Linked DNA regions of Lepisosteus oculatus. The protein of the gene in region 1 purifies or fractionates together with the protein of each later gene. This does not show direct contact. Links are inferred from orthologs where the notes say so. Each region holds a gene or a part of one and is shown in the gene's direction. Other genes may lie near its edges.

Region 1 (9,383 bases):
TCCAGAAGTCTTCAGACTGCACAGGACGACCTTGCTTATAGGTTTGTAGTCTTCTCCGAGACCCTTCTGCCTCCTTGTGCTGGGTCAATAGGGTTTCCCCAGGGAAAATGGTGAAGGGCTAATAATGACTTTCACTTCCTACAGCCCGATTTCCTGCTGTGCATCCATGGGAAGACCTCCCGAAGCTCCTCCATCTGTCACTGCCGTGGCAGCTGTTGCACACTGCCCTTCTCAGTCTGAGGAGAACTCGCTTCCTCTTGGCATCTTTTTCCACAGACAGAGTTTTCCAGCAAAAGATTAGGAGTGTAGACAAACGTTCAGTTGTTAGAGTTCTTCTTTCTGGAGTAGTTTGTTACTCTGGCTGGTCTGTAACTGGGCTTCTGTAAAGAGAATTGTGTCCTCCACCTCTCCTCTCCGCAAGGGCCTGCTTGAGTTGGGAACACCTCTACGGACTACTTCACTGCAGTGCAAGAGACTCTGGACTAGAGATCTAGGAGGATGGCCATTACCTACTGGGCCTCCTCTACTACCGCCTGGAGGCTCATGGTATAGCTGGGTCTGCAGCTCGCTGTTTTCTTGTGTCAGGTGGTTCTGAAATGGGCATTCACTCATCAGTGTCTCAGATGACCACACTGACTCTTCTTCTGCTCTTCATTAGGCTGTAGGACCTCATTCTTCTCCCTCAGGTCACAGGTCAATGCAATGGACTTTTGCTGCAGTTTTCCCAGTTCAGCATCTTGCTGGCTCCTCTGCTTGGGGTTCTGGAGAGTTTCTCGAAGCCCGACAGTCTTCCATGGAAAAGCCTGACGGCTATGACTGAAAGTCTGGCCATGCGTTTGTCCTTTTCTGGAACCAAAGGGTCCCAGTCACATGTTCCTGGCAGCTGGAACAACTGCAGGTCTGTGGAACTGTGAGCCCCCCTCCAAGGTCACATGATCTCCTCTTCAGGAGAGTTTCTGGACCAGGCTTCAGCTCTCTTCTCCCAAGTCAAGCTCATCTCACTTGAGCACACCAGACTGCAGCCTGCGTTCCTCCGCGTCTCCTGGTGACCAGTCTTATGTTCTTTCTTCTTCATCTCCGAGGTGCTGGCCTCTTCCGAAGAGGGAGCTGTAGAGTGTTCTGGCCTTGCCGCAGGCTCTTACCGGAGCAGAAAGACATGCCTCCTGTGGTCTGCGGGGCTGGGACCTGTTCATGCTTCTCACAGCTGCCGGTCCAGGGAGGGGGCGAGGGGGGTGGGCTCTACACCAGTCACACCATCTCCTGGCGGGCCCAGCTGATGGTCTTAGCTACCGCCAGCTCCTCTCAAGCACTGCCAGAGGAGCCTGACCCATTTCACTCTGTTACAGAGTCTTCTTTTCCCAACTCTTGTCTAGCTACTAAATCATCTTCCATTGTTTTAATTGCATTCTCAGGGAAGGAGAATAATTTCCTCCCCCTTTGTTTGGGTGAAAAAAAAATCGAGATGAGAGACGACTTGCATCGGTTTTCGTCTTTTTTGGGGGGGATTGCAATACTTGTATTGACCGCTAGGGCTGGTTCTTCTTAACCTGGTAGCGTGGTTTCGGACGTTCAACACCCGTGAACCACCTGTGAACCACCTGTGATAGGGCGCCTGAAACCCTATTTTCAGTCGACAGGAGAGCCGTTCTGTTTCTCCGCCCCCTCAAACCTACGGATATGTTTATTCTTTTTGTTTTCAGTCAAACACTGTACACTGGTCTCGCCTTTTCGGAAGCCTTTTAAAGAGAAGACTGCTCTACTTCAGCTGCAGCAGGTTCCGCTCCCGTAGCCTCGTGCGAATGCAAAGTCTGCGCTTGTTGATGCCCCGCGTGGGGCCTTCCACGCCGTACACCTGTAGCGGGGAAACCGCTGCTCCACTAAATCAAATCAAAATTCTTCAGTCAATCGTCTATTTTTAAAAGGGTCAAAATACAGTTTACGATCACGAAGCCATGACCACTCGCAAGACTGTTGTTACTTGGTTTGAAATTCAGCGCAGTCCATCACTTTTCAACACCTCGGTTATGGGTTACAGTTATTTCGCTCTTGAATTCTCTTGTTTTTTCAGTCTGAAACTCCAGACAAACCTGTACGTGAGCTGCCGGGTGTCCGAAGAAAACAGTATACGTTTGCTTTTAATCCTGCTGAATTTCCTTTGTAAATAAGACCTGCGGTCTACGTACACGTACGCTAGATGGCGCAATCCAATGCTGTCAAATTTTCGATTAAAAAGTGAAGAATAATGGCTGATAGAACAGTAATTATTTTCGTTTGTTGTTAAGAGCTTGCGTGTGATTGAAAATGCCATGTTTATTTAAACATGATATGTGGAAGGCACAGTTTTTACAATGCAGTTGCACCTTGGTAAAAACAAAAGTTTAAAACAGTTTATTCCTTATCTCCATCGGGGTCCAAATTTTCGATTCTGTTTTCTCTTCAGGGTAGATCTAATGTGTTTTATAATCTTTTATCTCGATTGACCTGGTTTAGAGGACAAACAGCATTGTGGCTTGAAAACTAAATTATTCCAAGGACACTAAAACTAAAGACAAGGGTGTGGCACGTTTGTAATAAATGGTGCAGATTTAATCTTAATCCCGGGCCCTTTATCGCAGCAGGAGGCGCCCACGATGCGACACTAGGACACTCCAGCACTTCCACGCAGCTTGTGCGGTAGTGGCCGGCAGGCGCTCAGGTGTCGCTTGAAGGCCAGTGCAGCCCTGGTCCTCGCCCAGTGCCCCTAGCAGCGCCGCCGGAAGACGACAGGACCTTAACATCCGTGTAGCATGATTCGCTCTTCCCGTCACAGTCCCACTGCAGGGTCCCGCAGCGAGGGTGGGGGGGAGCTGGCGGGGGAACCACACCGCCCTTCCGAAACAAGAAAGGGAGGGGCAGCAGCTGGGGGGGAGGGGCTTACCCGGACTCGCTCGGGGTTCTCGTCGCTCCTCCAGCCCAGGGTCAAGCCGCCTGCCCCGCGGAGAGGTGGTCCTGCGTCCGCTCAGCTCTTCGGCTCTGTACGACGCTGCTCTCTCTCTCTCCTCCTGCTGCCTGACAACACCGAGCTGACGACTCTTTGTAGTATTCCTTCTGCCTTTCTTCCCCCCCTTGTCCTTCTTTTCAAAGTATAGTTTCTCCGCAGTTTAAAACCTTCTTTTCTTTTCTTTTTTGTTTCTGTCAGTTCTGGTTTCTATGAAGATATTAAACTACTCTATTTCTCGGATGATTATTCTGATGATTACTGTTCTCCGATGTGCTCTATGTGTTCTCTGACTTAAGGAAATGTGTTAAAATGTTATCAATAAAAGCAACAACTTCAATATAAGCCCTCCCTTCTCTCTCTCTCTCTTTCTCCTTGCTGTTGTCGTTTCCTCTGTCTGAAAAACATTGAAAATGCCAGAAGGACTGTAGCTGATCCAGTGGATCCTGGCTTAAACTAATTAAAATGTCTTTTTATCGTTGGCTAGCATGGCTGCCTTGTAGCACCTGGAGTACTGTCTGTGAGGAGTTTGTATGTTTTTCCCAGGTCCACATGGGTTTCCTCTGGGTGCTCCAGTTTCCTCCTACAGTTCAAAGACATACTGGGTGAGTTGGCATCTGGGAAAATTGGCCCTGGTGCGAGTCTGTGTGCCCGGTGATGGAGTGCCGTCCTGTCTTGTCCAGGGTGTCCTTGTGCCTGTTTCTTGTTGGGATAGGCACTCCCCCACAACCCTTAATTAAATAAAGAATTTAAAAAGGGATGGGTGGATGGAATAGCCAGATTCTTTAGCTGCCACTGAGCAAAAGCTGATAAAACGAGGAAGTTATAGTGTTCCGGGCAAGGTGATGACACCCTGTGGTGACCGGTGTCTCCTGCAGTCTGTCCGGCGGACGAAGAGTTCCCTTTCCTCATTGCCAGCTGCTGTCTCGCTGATTTCTGGCAGAGAGGAGGAATGCACTTGCACCAGCTGACAGGGCAGAAACCTCTCGTGACGTGGAAATGACGGCTCTCGTATCGACGCACCTGCGGACGTGATCCCCCTCTGACCCCTCCACCTGGCCACAGATGCGCCCCCCCCCCGGCACCCCTTCGGCGCCCCGCTGTGCTGATGCTGCAAGGCTGGTGTGAGCAGAGTCCAGCTCCTCCTTGCACAACAAAGGACAAAGTCTCTCCTCCTGACCCCCCCCCGCCCCCCCCCACCAGCACTCACTATCACAGGCGAAGTGATAACAGCGAGATCACGCACACCCCCGGAGGCACATGTACACAACACCCGCACGCAGCCTCTCACATCGACAGATGGACTGTGCTCCCACACCCAAAGACAGCTATACAGACACAGGTGAGACAGACACACAGCATGTTTCTGCACCAGGCAGCAGGCCTGCACGGACGCAGATGGACTGTGCTCCCACACCAGCTATACAGATGCAGGTGAGACAGACATACAGCATGTTTCTGTACCAGGCAGCAGGCCTGCACAGAGACTTCAGAATCACACTGGCACAGCGCTTTCTGAGACTGGTGCAGCTTGCACTGGGGGAAGGGCCTCTCTGACTCACCCCTCAACTTAAGCATCCTTTACAAACAGAGGGTGACTAAGAAAGCCAAAAGCATCAGGGAGTGTGTGTCTCACCCCCTCCATTGTGAATTCACACTTCTCCCATCTGGGAAATGCCTCTGTGCCCCCCAGGTATAAAACCAACAGACTCAGGAAATCTTTCGTCCCCACTGCAATCACTCTTGAACAATGCAAAGTCACTACCTTGTCTCTTGTTTCTTTTCTCCTGTAACACTTCTGTATTCTCTTCCCTTTTGATGATGTGCATTTGTCATTGTGTTGTGTTTGTGTCGTGAAACTAATTTCCCCTAGGGGACAATAAAGCTTGAATTGAAAAAGATAAAGCTTGAATTGACAGCGTTTCACGCAGTGGTGTTTGGGGTGGGGGTGGACAGAGTTTTCACTTCTCACACAGCTGTAAAACTGACCACCACTCTTTGGCCTCAGGAAGGGCAGCAGCGGCCTCTCTGCTGAGGTGGGAGAGGAGCACAGCTGGTCAGGAGCAGGCACGCCTCATGCGGACTGTAACCAGGGTGAGAAACCACCCTTGGCCTACTCCCACCAAGCCCTTCATTACATCAGCAGGGATGACTGTCCAAAGGCTGCTCTAGAGTTTCCCATTCACATCCCATCCTGTCACCTAGCAGCGGCAGATTTCTGGTCTCTAGGGGCCAAGACCACAGCAACACACAGGTGAACTCATCTTAAAGAGGTTAGGGAGGCTCCCCACTCACACACAGCACGGTGTGACAAAACCTTTAGCAACGCACATTCCCAATGCTCGGGGCCTGGATTTAACACCGAGCGTAACCCAACTAGTAAACACCGGACCTCGTGAAATCAGGACGCTTCCTCCCGTCAGGACTTTAAGTAGCAAACTTCTTCCTAAAGAGTTTATTTTGTCTACGTGTAATTCACAATGTAAAAAGCTGAGGAATAAAACGGTTGCTTCTTTTTTATATTTATTTAGCAAAAAATATTTTTTCCTAACGGGCACTACAATACGCTTAACAAACGGCGAGCTCGTCCTTTCAGCTAAGGTTACGTCTCCCAGCGTGAGGGTGCGGCACGCCAAAATTCCTGTTCGTGACGTCAGAGCGCGGTGACGCAGAAGGCCTGGACTCGGAGTAGTCTTGCTCCGCGCGCTGTCATTTCCAGTCTGGAGAATCGGAGGGCAGTGCGGCTGTGAGGTGCCGAGCCGCTAGTTAACTAATATTCGCCGAAATACTTACAGACTTTCACCCGCTAACCGACTAAAGGAGAACAAAACGTAAGTCCTCTGCATTATTTCTAGATAGGTTGCATTTAGAAAAAGAACGGCGCGACTAAAAACCGGGGGAATGAAGCACATCTCTGTGACGGCATAGAGAAGTAACTTAGGATCTTTTAGTAATAGGTAGCGATGGGAGCAGACCTTCTGTAGTACCTGTCTGAACTCCCGGGCAGGCCTTGGGAATGCCAGGCTGTAGTTTCTTTCCCCTGCAGGAAAGGTGGCTGAAATATTCTAGCAAAATTGTTTCTGTAACCCGGTACGCAAGGAAAGGACACAGTGATGGACAGTAGCGACGACCCAATCGCACCGCCGCGGTGTAGGCGGGCTGCTGCTAACGCAGCCAATCAGCGTAGCTTTTAGCAAGGATGGAGGCGGGACTGAGCCGGGCGGGACTGGGCTTGGTTGAGTTTAAGGAGAGAAAGTGCAGTATAGCGAGGACGCAAGGTCAGGACATAAGCGTAGTCCGCTAGTGGGACAAACAAGACGCGGGGGGGACATAGGCTCTCTGGGAACTTCACTGGAGGTTCAGCGCAGAACTGTGACCGGGTCCCCGTGCTGCAGAAAGCTGCCTAGTTGTTAAAGGAGGGCTGTTTTGCTGCACTCACTGCGGCTACGGGTTGCCATGAAAAGAGACCCGCGCATACACACACAACGCGCGTGTGTGTGCGCACATTGTGTGCGTTCCTGGAAGCATGAGGCGAGATAACACTTTTTTTTTTTTACAGCCCCGCACAGTACTCTAGTCTTTCTTTTTAATGCTGACTTCAGCAATCAATACATAATGAGGAATGCATAAATTACTCCAACGCTTAGAAATAAACGAGCAAAAGGGCAAAGTTCTATGTGCTGGGACCTACCCCAACCACCATCGCCTCTTCTTGGGTCTGTGCTGAACAGGGCTCTTTTGAGTTGTCTGTTATTCAGCCACAAACGCTGTTCAGCTCAAACAGAACAGAAGATACATGGCTGTAGAAGCAGCAAGGGCTTGAAAAGCAGATAACATGTAAAAAATGAAGTATCTCTTGCATTTCACAATTAAAAGTGTGCAGTTCGCATATAGGTGATCTTTTATATAAGATCTTTTCTTGGCCATTTACATGTGGAGCTTGCACTCCTTTTGTATCTCTTTTCACAGTACACCATCTTCACAGTAAAATTAGAAACGGATAGAAATACATCTCAGGGCTTAAAGGTGCTGATGGACTTGGAGATCAGTCCACACAGTCCTGGGGCTACCCAGCAGGATGCGAAGCCTGTGACTTGTTCAGAGCCCTGCTTGAGTGATGCAGGGACTTGCACAAGAATGTCGACAGGAGCCCATTCTTCTTCTGTAATTGGAGAAGGAAAAAAAATCATAACGTACCTCTGTGAAAGCATTCCAATAACCTTAGGAAGGAGGCATGTCATCCTTTCACAACAGGCCTGCTAGCGTTGTTTGCAGTCGCAATCTGTTTGCTGCGTTGTTGCTTGGTGTCCACTCTCTCTGGGTCCTGGATCATTCCTTCTGCTTGTGTTCTCACCTTGTGCGGCGCATAGGCGCGGGCCTTATTTTTTCATTTCATGCTGTTCGGCTTGGTGCACACGGCACAATCTTCACCGTGAAGTTTTAGATGTAACGTAGAGGAACGAGTGAGTTTCACAGACACGGGTGTCTGTGATGAGCCGCATCAGTGCTGTGCTGCTCGTGAGTGGTGAGTGCCGATGATTCATAGTAGCTTCAGCGTGATGTACAGCACTGAGTGGATGAGGTCTGTATGTGTGCACTGGACGAGGAGCTTAGTCACCTCACGTTTATCTCAATACAAATGGAATGGAGGGCAGCATGGTAGTTAACTGGGTCCTGGCTTCGATTCCAGCCTGGGTCTGTTTCTGTGAGAAGCTTGGAATGTGGGAGGGAATCGCAGCACTTGGTAAAAACAATTGCTGACTAGGTATAGCGGGCCCGGTGACGGACCTGTGTCCCATCCACAGTATCCCAACCACTGGGAGAGAGGCTCCAGGATGCATATCAGCAATCCGCAGTTTTCCGATAACGGATCGATGGAGTTAGACTTCACGGCAGTTGCTGTAGCAAGACGAGGGAGAGCCACAGTAATTGCTGATGTGGTACATTGTGCAGGAAAGCACATGACTGCATACGGAGCACAGGAGCAGTCCTGAAGATGGGGGAGCCATCAGCTTGAGTTCTGTTGTTACTGTTGTATCCTCAAACATGCCACTGTGTGCCCTGTAGTCTGGTTTGCCTGACACTTCCCTGATCTGAACCTGAGTGGATCTTCATTTTCCTGCCCAGAAACACCAGCCAGCATCAGCTTCCTCTTGTCCCATGGCGAGCTCTGCCCGAGACTCCATCTTTAACCTTCTTCCTCCATAGAAATTTGAGTCCTATGATGACAGTCTGTGGGACTTTCTTCTCTTTCATGTTTCAAGCAGTTGCCCTTTGCCCCCCCCCCAGACAAGGCTGAACAAACAAATGTTTTAATTGTCTTTTTGGTTTGTTTAAGAGGAAGGGTCCCGAGAAGAATTCAGGTTACATTGTCTTGGATTATGAATTAGCTGCACATGGAACACTTAATCCTGTTTTTACCCCTTTGGATGGAACAGGTGATGCTCATCTGATTAGATTTCTTACTGGACAAACCAAAGTCAGACTTTTCCGATTTGACTTGCAGACATGGAGTTTGGACCTTCCGTGAATTCTCCTCCCACATATCCTTCTTTTTTTTTACTGCCCGTGTATATTTCTGGATCCCAATATGTGCAGTTTTTAAAACTGAAACTTTGAATCTCTTTTCTGGCTCTGTGAGAATCCTGACTGGGGCAAGCTGCCAGACAGCTCACGTGTTCCTGAGCCACAGTTAATGAATATTTGGAGTTGCAGGTCTTGACTGTGGTAGGCAGAGCCCGCACAGGACCCACATTACTGACTGTACATGTCTGCTCCGATGATCTGTCTTCCTGCTCAGTAGAGAAAAAATCTACTGTGTGGATTTCAACTTTGCAAGCTGAAGGCACACTTCCTCTTGCCAAATAGGCCTTAGCCATTGGCAGCTGAAGCTGAGTTCTCGGTGTGACCACAGGCTGACCTGGGGACACGCCTGAGATAAGCTCGAAAGCTTGCATGAACCTGCGTTGTCAAACAAGTGATAAAAGTCAGGCTTTGCATGTTGCAGGTTCCAGAAGCGATGCGACAGAGCGTTAGGTGTTATTAAGAGGAGAGCCGTAGCCCTGGAGCTCAGCTCACGCCCTGGCCCGCCCTGTGAGGGTGTTGGGTAAGAAGCAGAGGGTCCCCACGTGACCTCGTGCTGCCCCTCGGGACGTGAACTGAACAAATCAGGTTTGGTTCTCAGGTTCTTCTAGACCTCGGGCCTCAGCCTGCGTCCCCAGGACAAGGGGGGGTTACTTGACAAGGAGCCCCTGAGAGCTCAAGTGATAGAGGAGTCTCTGACACAAGGGCCTTGACAGAGGCCCATTCAGGTGACTGGTGACTGCAGGGCGTTTCCTTCCCTAGACTGCAGACGGAAACAGCTTTGCCAAATAAGGAAACCCACTGTCACCGTTTTCTCCGCTGG
Region 2 (10,360 bases), on another chromosome or scaffold:
AACTGAGTCTACGCTCTTGTTCACAGCCCTGGATAACTCGGATTTCAAAGCCTCTGACAGATTCTTGCTCTCTTTATGTAAGGTTGGGAGGCTATTTTCAGTTTGCAGTGTCTCTTTCTGCCTGACTTTAATAGCGTCAAACTTTTTCTCTGCGTCGCTGTCGAGGTCCGCGAGGAGTTCACAGTCCAGGTTCTCCAGAAGGTCTGCGTTACGGTCCTCACCGCCATGCAGTACGAAGCCAGCTGGGTATGTCTCCACCCGGTCCTCATGCTCCAGCTCACTCACATTATAAACTTGGAAGAACTTCTCCTGGAGCTGCCTCAGGTGTCTTTGCATGGCCTGCAGCTGCTCTTTCAGCTTATGGCACTCTTCATCTTTACTGTTGGGTCTGCTGGCTCCACCACTGAGGCTGTGGTTCTGGTGCTGGGGGAGCCTCTGCTTCCTTTTGTTTTCCCGGTAGGTCTCCCTTATATCCCCACCAGTTTCACTCCTGTCTCCTTCTCCAGGCGTCTTTGCGTTAGGAGATCCTGCCATGCCTCTGATGATGTTCTCCACCCTGGCCCGCTTGGCTTGGTGGTGCTCATTCAGTGGTCGGTCACCCTCGGGGCTGGCTGTGGTAGAAGTGTGGCTACCTGGGGAAAGTGGCTCTAGGGTGCTGTCTTTGGATGAGCTGCTGCTTCTGTCCTCCTGGGCGGAATCTCCCATGGTGCAGCTGGAGACCGCAGTGGCAGGCAAGAAGAACACACCCTCCTCCAGAGCTCTCTTACTCTGAATGGTTTTACGCAAAAGCTGAGAAATGATGGATCCATTCGAGTACATATTCAGAGAGCCGTCATACAGATTTTTTCTGAAGGACGAATGGAGGATTTCCCCTTTGTCCTCCTCCAGATAGTTTGCGCTGGAGGAATGCATGTTTGGATCTGAGATGCTGAGGTTCATGTTTAGGGAGGCAATCGTTATTCAAAAAGAACAAAATTTAATGAAGAGATGCCCGAATCAATAAATCTGAAATGTTATCAAGCCCGATGTTGAGGATATCTGAAATAAAGACAAGCATTAAAAAACTTAATGTAAAAGTGTTTTCAATAGCCACCCATGTCCAAAATAAAATTTCCACACACAAATGTGTCTTTAAGATTGATTTTTAAATCACTCTCCCAAAGATCAATAAAATGGCAAAAAATAGATACCGTGAAAGTATTCCACCATAGCCATTGTCTCTTAATTAGAAGTTCTAGTGAGTCAAAATTTATAGAGTTGAATACTGAAACAGTGAAAAATGAATTCTAGCATCATATGAAAATCAACTCTATACATCTATCTGCTGCCACAATTGTATGATATTTTCTTTCAAAAAAATAAGTGTCTAATAAGGTCTGATGTATGATTTGTCTCTATCAATAAAATAGAAGGCAGCCACATCTTTTCTGGATTCCTCAGACATTATGTAAAAATGACATATGCTCTACATTAACGTACAAGTGACGCTCAGCAGCAATACATTGTTGACATTCCTGTTTGTTCAGCCTTATTGTACCAAAAACCATGAACATTTGAGCACAGCTCAGACCACAACACAAACCAATGATGAGTCCAACAATGCAACAATATCCCTCATTCTGCAGTGCTTGGTTTCGATCTTTAGTTTTAGGCTAATCTCATTCAAAAACCTTTCTTGCCAGTATGTATTCACTGTTCTGGTGAAGGACCCTTGCTTCTCACTATAAAGGCAAATTTAAAAAATGCAGAGATTGGGCATCATTAAACTGCAAAATAGCATCCCTTTATCTTGCGTGTTAAAAAAGATTAAAAACACCCTAAAAGATCTTTAATTATGGGACAAAAAGAGAGAATAAGGTCTCCTAAAGACCAAACAGATGAGTAAGATTTATTATTATAAAATATATAAAACACTCTTTTAATCTTTTTATTACTTGAGAAGCTAAAACAGTTGAAAAGTCAGTGATAAAAAATAAAAGACTTAACTACAGACTAATAAAAGATGTAAGGATACTATTATAACAGCACAGCACAATGAAACATGTACTTTCCTTAATGTAAATAATAACTTAAATGCATGAAGTGTTCAGAATAAATCTCTACACAACTCTGAAACAACAGTTTATGTTTAACACTAATATTTGTTTACATAGGCAAAAGCCTTAACTGTTACACGATTATAAATCGTACATGAAGGACATCAGGAATGTTTTGCTACAAAATTGGAAAGGTAGATAAATAACCAGTAACAAAGTCTGAGCCAGTCCATGAAAATTAACCTCAGTAAATTAAAGCATAACCCCTGATTCCTCATATTGTCCTTTTTTATAGCAACACATTGCCATTCCCTTTCAAACATGGGATGTAAATTATGCATTTGCACAGGTAGAACGTTTTCCAAAACCTTAACATATTTATAGCCCTGAAGAGATAATTACAATTTATCAGTAGATCCAAAATCCCAAAATAGGCTCATAGACAGTCTTACAATCAGTAAAAGTAAGAACCACACAGAACAAAGCAGAATGTATAGCTACAAGAATAGTGTTATTGTCGTTGTTGTTCATTTATTACAAGTACAGGTAGATACTAAAATACTGCACATTAATGTGTTACAAAACAGGTACAATTAACATACGCTGCAAATATAATTCCTATTAAAAAAGCATTCTCTATCAGCACCTAGCCAGCTACTGAATTCTTCAGAAACATTTTAATGAATCAAAAAACAATTCTGAAGCTTTTGTATTACTTAATCTTAAAAATAAACCTTTTCTGCATGACTCAGACGTAGTCAACAAGCTGGTAAACCACATACAAATTGTGAACTGAGGTGACAGAAAATCCTATTTTTCTGTAAAAATAAATGCAAATAAATAGGCCAAAGAAACGTTTAGCAAGCATTCTGTCTGTTCATGAAAAGTGAAAACAAAAAGAAAGACTGATGTATTATTAAACCATCATATCAGCCTTGAATACATTAATTGCTTTGGATAATAAAAACTTTATCATCATGCTAACTATATACTGTAACCTGTCTCTAGATTCATTTTGTCAGAGATTATACACCTTATCCCAACTATTAAAGGAATGATGGTTTTGTTTAGAATATTATTGCTGATCTCCATGTAAACTTCACTAGCATTTTACACATCCTGTACAGTGCCTTTCTCAGAACACAGTTTTCAGAATCTCATACATTTAAAGTACACCATTTATTTCATTTGTGTCACAATCACTGATTTTATATCCGCTTCTGAAATATTCTGAAATGACATATTAAAGAGAAAAAGCATCTCAGATGGCAGTTTTATTTATATAGTTTGAGAAAGTTGTTTACATACTAAAAAAAAAAACATCTGTTGATGAAACTTGTAAAAACAGAGCCACATTTGTTACACAGGATGTATGTTTATGAGATATTTGGTTCAACTGAGAAATATTGTTCAGTTGAATTCTTTGTATTGTTTGAGGAATTGTATTTGTGGTGTGTTCTTGAAATAACATTCTTGGGATAGTAAAGCAGACCTTACAATATTGTCAGACATACTAACTTAATGTACCTAAAATGCCCATATTAATTTTTAATGCAATATTAATCCTCAATTTAAGTTAAAAGAATTTAGTGTATGTATAGTACAAGCATTGCTTGTAAAAATGTGACCATATTTAAACGTAATCAAAGTATGTTCAGACTTGGACAAATTTGTGTTAAAATTAACCAACAGGTGAATTTGTTTCTCTCAAATAATTTTTGTAACATTAATAAAACATTAAGGAATCCAGCTTTGGTCTTATTGTTGATTTCAATCAACAAATCTTGATTAAAATCGTGTTGCTCCTGTTTGAACGCAGATTGCTTTGTGTTTTACTCAGCAATTATTTTCCATGTAATGAGAACTGGTCACAAGTGTGCTAGGTTTCAGAATTGGGCAAGTTATTCCACTTAGCTGAATAAAAGAGGAAATGAGGTACAGTAGTTGAGTAGTTGAATACACAACAGTTAATTAGTAACTTTACTTCCCAACAATAAATCAAAGCTTCTCTTACCGTTAAAATGGCATTTACAGTATTAAGCACACTTAAAAACAAGCACAAAAAACTAAGTTCCTTGTTATTTCTCTTTTATCTAAGACATTGGACATATCTTAACTGTAAAAACTATATTACAACAAATCATTTGACTAATTCAAATAAAAACGTTCTTATCCTTATCATCTATGACAGAGTGAAGCATACTCAGGGTACTTCCGTTTTTTCAGTGTTTAGTCTCATTGTGGTTAAATATTAAGAAGTATATAATTCGTAACTAAGGAGTTGAGTATCAATAAATTTAGAAAATGTATTCTAAAGTATAAAATATAAAATCCTACTCAAGATCTGTTACATTGTACCGTGGACAAAATGCTCCATCTTCCTTTTTTCACAAGATATGATGTGAAATGCTATATCACAAGATGTAAATGCATATAAATAACACGTTCTAGGAGTTTGTTAATACATCCTATTTAAAAACATATGTTTGCATTATTATATTTAATCTATAAGTACTTTCCCAAAACTGTTCTTAAAATAAATCTTGCCATACGGTGACCAAAAAATAAATACCAAGTATATAGCAAACCATTACATTGATAGAGGTGTAATACAAACAGGGCACAAGTTATTTGCAACATATTCAAACAAATTGATTATTATCCAGTAAATGCATTTCATGTTCTGCATTCTGACAGATTATTAAAAGCAGTCGGTGTCCTTCCTTAATTACAACAAATTGCTAGTCGACTACAATTATTAATAATATCGACAACATCTAAAGTCTATTTAAAGACGGAGAAATAATCACTTTAACACGGTGTACTACTTGTCCAGAAGATTAAGCTACAAAATGTTGTAGACATATACAGTATTTCTCTACACTTGCAAAGGCACATTATTTGCTTCAACCTGAAATGACTAGGAGTTTTTTTCCCCCACACAATTAAATATTTTTCATTGCCATCTTTCAGTAATGCGGTGAAAGTACAACTTAATAGTAGGAAGATGAATAAACTTGAAAAACAAAATCGGGAACGTTGCAGTTATGTTCTAAAAACAAAAAAAACAAAAGGCGTGTTATTCTGTTCCATAAAGGAAGGACACTTGAGATCGAGGAGGGTTTCTGAGGTTGTCTTACCTGCAGCCCCGCTGAGAAGATGCTACTCCCTATCCCTGCGAGAAAGGTTAAATCAATCCTGAGAGCAGGAGCCTCAAAGGCCGGTCCATGACACAAGGGGCTAGCGGAGGTGTGGTCAGCTCAGGCAAATCGGAGTTCAGCTATGTTAATGAGACGAAAGCGGCGCTGCAGGAGCGGAACATGACAGGGAATTACAAAGTAGCGGTGATGTTCGTTACAATCACATTTCGGTGCATGAACAGCAGATATCTCCCTTTCGTGTTTTTATGCCGTTCAGATAATGCGTTCCTTCTAACGTATCCCTTTTAAAACTCAAGCAGAACAGAGAGCTGTGCTTTCTGATACAGTACAACTGTACGATTTGACTGGGTGTCACAGCCCGATTCTCAGTCCGTGCTATTATAGCCCAGAAATAAAACGACAAGTTTCTGTTGAAAACTCGAGGTGAACTCGCCATTCTACACATTTAGAGTTGTAATAATTAATGAATTATTTGTGAATGAGTTAACTAAGGATAATTATCAATAAAATCTCATCACTCCCGTTTGAACCCCAAGCGTAGTGTTTATTCCAGTAAGCACGAGTTTTTCTGTTGCATTGTAAAGCAATATAAAACAATAAAGATAACTGTAGTAGCATCTGTGGGCAAATCCGAGAAGAGACGTTAAACCATTGCAAAATAAGTCAACGACATTCCTAGTTCTTCACTAGTGAAGAAATCCCATTTTTCACAAAGCAAGAATGTTTAACAAATGCGAGGGTACTTAAAAGAGACAACGTGTGCTTCCCAAATTCCTGTATTTAAAAAAAAAACATTTTTTACTCCTTTTGGATGTTCCTAATCCCTATTCGGTGTTGGTTTGCCCCAACAATCCCAACCTCCCCTCCCCCGTCACTGTTCACGTTGGTTTATCCCAGGTTGTTTCCGCCCTGTGGTTCTGTGTGACAGCTTCTTGGTCGGGTTGTCTGCTGTTGGTTTTCCCCGGTACTGCTACCGCTGTCCTTAGTCGTCATGCTTTCCCACTCCCGGTGTTTCTCCCGGACTCTCGGCCGCTCCCTCTCCGCTCTCAGCCAGGTAGGCTCTTGGAAAAAGCAACCCGCCGTTAGCTCGCTGGGGCTGAATGCGAGAGCCTGGGGTTTGGCAGTGAGGCGGTGGAGTAGGATGTAGGCCGGGGATAGGCCTCACGACACCCCAAGGACAGAGTGACACTCCGTACCCGCGATCGCAGAGCGGCTCCTCTGTAAAACACTGAGAATAAGCACCCTGAGGGTTGAGGGGGCGACTTGAATAATAACGAAATCCGGTCGTATAATCTTTGTATTCTACGGCGTCATTGAAGACACTTTGGGGAAAAACTTCTGCGCTGAAGTGAGGTCATTGATAGGTTGTTCCATTAAAAAAAAACAACACTTGCCGAGTTACATTTGTGCATGTAGCGTTTGCAAATTGCCACTCTGTAGTGCTTTATTTTTTCCCCGTTTTTATTCTGCCCGGCTGTTGTGAATTGATCAACGTAACAGAACAAGGCTGACCTGCAGCTCACATGTTGCCCCTTGACTGAATATTATTAACGGCAGAAGAGAGTGAAGGCACAGCCCAAGGTGGCCTGTGGTGTGTTGAGCGGTCTCTCTTTTAGAATTTAATACGGAGATAAACAAGTTCTGAAACCATAGAAAACAGTAACCAAAGTCGTTTTAACTCTTGGTGATTTTGCAGGTATTGATCATGTATAATAACTGATCTGTTCAGCTAGGTTCACGGTCAGACGGTTGGCGGTTAAGGTGGGGCAGAGTATCCAAATGTCTTGAAATTTCACCCCACTTCAAAGACAGCAGGTCCACCCTGTAGGACCATGTCTGTGATAGTGTTTGAACTCCTGCCTTGCATAAGGAGGTGCATCACAAAGTATTGATGGCCTTTAGAATTCCCCAGTGTTGTGTGGTGTTGCTAAACTCAGCCAATGTTTTCTTACAAACTTAGGCATGTTTAAAATAGTATCACGCATTAAAATCACATGAGTTCTATTTGTAAATTTACATTTCATATTTTAATGAACTGCCGGGTGTATGTATAATATGTATCTTAAATACATTCCAATCGGAATAGAGGAAATTATTTCACACTAAGGGGTGCATTTATTTTGTAGTCCATGACTAAAGAGATGATCAAAACTCCACAAAAGTTCAAAGTAAAACACTGTGCCTTGTTTGGGTACCTGATAGGAGTATTAAAATATATTTTGAATTTTCAATCAGAAATAACATATTTTAAAATAAATAACCATTTGATATGTACAGTTATTAAAATCTTGCAAATATGGTATGATTTATTAGAACTTTGTTTCCACTTATATTTTTTATTCATTATGTAAGCAGCTGTTGTTGTTAAATGTTTTGTGTTAACCTTTATTTGTGTGTTATGTTATAAAACTGGGGGTCAATAAGATTCATTCCCAGTCACCCAGGAATGATCACACTACAACTGCATACTTTTAAAAATAGCTTGAGGGGTGAATGCAGTACTTCAGGTTACTTGGGTACTAGGGCTTATTTGTTTTTTTTCTTTGCAAAATGTCAGTTTTCAAAAACATTTCCCTAAAATACAATTGTAAATTGAGAAAGTTCCCAAACATACTGAAGTAGTTTATTGTATAATTTCCATGTGGTGTATATTTATGTATATTTAAAGAATAATATTTGGCTTAAAGCCATTTGATTTTTTTTTAAACCTGTAGAATGAACATATAGAGTTTTTCTCAATCAGAGCACTCCACTCACAAGTGGTTTTTGGCTGCAGAGAATTGTAAGAAGGCTGGTTTACAAAATCAGTGGCATGCCAAGACAGTATTACTAATGGAGAAAAATTAGCTTGACTCCACAGTCTGAAAATGTTTTGTTGGACAGTGCCTTCAAGATCATTAACAAAAAAGCTATGTATGTGACATTTCACTACCAATATGAGCCAATATAAAACCCACTAAAACCACACCACATTGCTTGCACAAAGGTCAGATGAAGATCTTTTTACTTTAAGAAATGAAAAATCTTTGATGTTTTTTTCTTTACTGAATTTCTGGAAAGATGTGCCATCATTAATGGTATTTATGGTCTGAAAACATTTCTCAGAATAGAAAGATTGCATAATTCTTGTACCTTGCCCCTTTGTGAAACAGTAGTCAAGGCATCCAGTTCTTTCTATATTTCTGTTCTCAGCATAAAATGTGCTGATTAAGAGGTTGTCCTTTTATTGTTATTTTACTCTTGTGTGAAGCTGAGGGTCTGGGCCTGCTGGACATTCTGATTCTTTTGTCGCAGAAGAGATGTAAGGGGAGTCAGGGAGGAGGGGGTCATTATAAAGTATGGTTAGGCTTCTCTTTGTTCTTAACATAAGTTTTTTGTAACAAAATGACAATAGGTACAGTAAGTTGCAGTCAAGTAGTTTTGAGTTGGCCTTTTTCTTCCTCCTGAAAAGAAAGATCGTCTTCAGACTCGAAACACTGAAGTAATTATAAAATGTTTTGCTGAACTGTATATTTTGGTGAGGGATTCCTACAGTCTATTTTATTTGCTATGCTAAAGAAAAATATTACTTTCAGCTTTATCGTGTCTTGTGACAGTTTACTTGTATCCGCAGGTATATTTAATTAAACTGGAGTCACCAGTTATATAAAATATAATTAAACCGGTGTTACCACACGTACGTGAACTGCAGTCCACAGTCCTTTAACCTATTTTTCTTATCTCATTATCTTGTATTTTCATGTATTCTGGAATCAGAATTCATAGAATTGGTCATATCCTATTAATTGAAGAATGGCAATTTACAAACTTGATACAGGTCCAAAATACAAAATGTGTGCTTATGTTAAAACTTATTTTGTGAATAAAAGCATTTCATGTTTTTCTTTTCTTTCAACAGGGTAACAGTGTCTTAGGGAGGAGGGCCATTTCAGGTAAGGATTTTGCCTTTTATTTTCACTGATTTAGCATAATTTAGTTCTGTTGTCGGTCATACACAAAGATTTTATGTCTTATGAATATCCATAAAATTGGTCAAATTCCCCATGAATGATTCATGAACAATTCTACTGGAGATGATAATGCTTATTGAGTACCCTGATTAAATAAAGGGCTTTTGAGAGGTTAAGTACTCTTTACAAAGGACCACTTAAATATACAGTAAGATATTAATAGGATTACTCTATTTAAATAATGGAGTATTGTCATCAGACTGTTAATGTTATCCTTTATCTGTTTAGGCCTTTCTGCTTGTCATCACCTTGCTTATGAGAAGAGCCGTCTGTAAGTGTTCTGTTTTTTTGGAATCTCCTTTTGTCACCCATATATATGTGCATGTGTCTTTATTAATCTCTAAGTCCTCAAGTTAAGTTGAACGGCTCAAAAAAACTTCTCTGAAATTGTCTGGAGTTATATTGCTTTCAAGCAGTATGATTTCCGAGTTGTTTCATTAGTAAGAAAAAATGAGTTCATGATTATAAATGTTCAACATCCTGTAAAGTGCACTTGTTCTATTTATTTTAAACACCTGTGGGTTTGCATTTAAAGTCTTTTAACCAAGGTGAAATTGGGTCTTTTTATGGTTAAAGAAACCTCAGACATAATTTTACTTTTAACGTTCAGGACATCAGTGTTACTATCATTCTTTTACACAAATACCAATACATTGTCAATATTCCCATAAGAGTTTTGAATTGAATTAACTGTTGATTCATTTAACCAATATGATGGAACTGAATAGTTAGTTAAACATTTTAACAGACGTACATTTGCATTACTAGAGTTTTGTCAAGAGTAATTCTCAGTTGTAAAGATAATCGGTATGAAATTAGCTGCTGATAAAGAAAAATGTTAATCGTACAGTAATTCTGCTTTTTTACTATTAAAGCTGCCTGAATAATCACATTTCTTTCAGGGAATGTGGCAGGAGATCTAGTGTCTTCCACATTAGGTACTTTAAGACTTCAGCAGTCTGCAGTAAGTATTCACCTGCCTTGGTCCCATTTAAAATTAAAAATTTGTCTTCAGTTTGTTTTTTAAATTGCCTTTAGTAAAGTATGTTCACATTCTTTTTTGTTTTAACAGAAAATGAAGTTGTCACAGTAAATACTCCTGCATTTGCGGAGTCTGTCACAGAGGGTGATGTAAGGTGGGAGAAAGGTATTG

Evidence for each region. The genes of interacting proteins can lie anywhere in the genome.
Region 2: the proteins of ogdhb (region 1) and dlst fractionate together in Homo sapiens (co-fractionation; 3 studies listed by BioGRID). This does not show direct contact. The link is inferred for Lepisosteus oculatus from reciprocal best matches to the Homo sapiens genes OGDH and DLST.

What each region holds. Positions count from the first base shown.
Region 1 is NC_090697.1:69,252,600-69,261,982, forward strand, and holds the start of ogdhb (2-oxoglutarate dehydrogenase complex component E1), read left to right. Parts: upstream 1-5,647; 5' UTR 5,648-5,808; intron 5,809-9,383. UniProt on the Homo sapiens protein: 2-oxoglutarate dehydrogenase (E1o) component of the 2-oxoglutarate dehydrogenase complex (OGDHC). Participates in the first step, rate limiting for the overall conversion of 2-oxoglutarate to succinyl-CoA and CO(2) catalyzed by the whole OGDHC.
Region 2 is NC_090703.1:9,037,472-9,047,831, reverse strand, and holds the start of dlst (dihydrolipoyllysine-residue succinyltransferase component of 2-oxoglutarate dehydrogenase complex, mitochondrial), read left to right. Parts: upstream 1-6,095; 5' UTR 6,096-6,188; coding exon 6,189-6,251; intron 6,252-9,095; coding exon 9,096-9,129; intron 9,130-9,435; coding exon 9,436-9,478; intron 9,479-10,109; coding exon 10,110-10,171; intron 10,172-10,279; coding exon 10,280-10,354; intron 10,355-10,360. Other genes in the region: prox2 (prospero homeobox protein 2), read right to left, coding at 1-939. UniProt on the Homo sapiens protein: Dihydrolipoamide succinyltransferase (E2) component of the 2-oxoglutarate dehydrogenase complex. The 2-oxoglutarate dehydrogenase complex catalyzes the overall conversion of 2-oxoglutarate to succinyl-CoA and CO(2).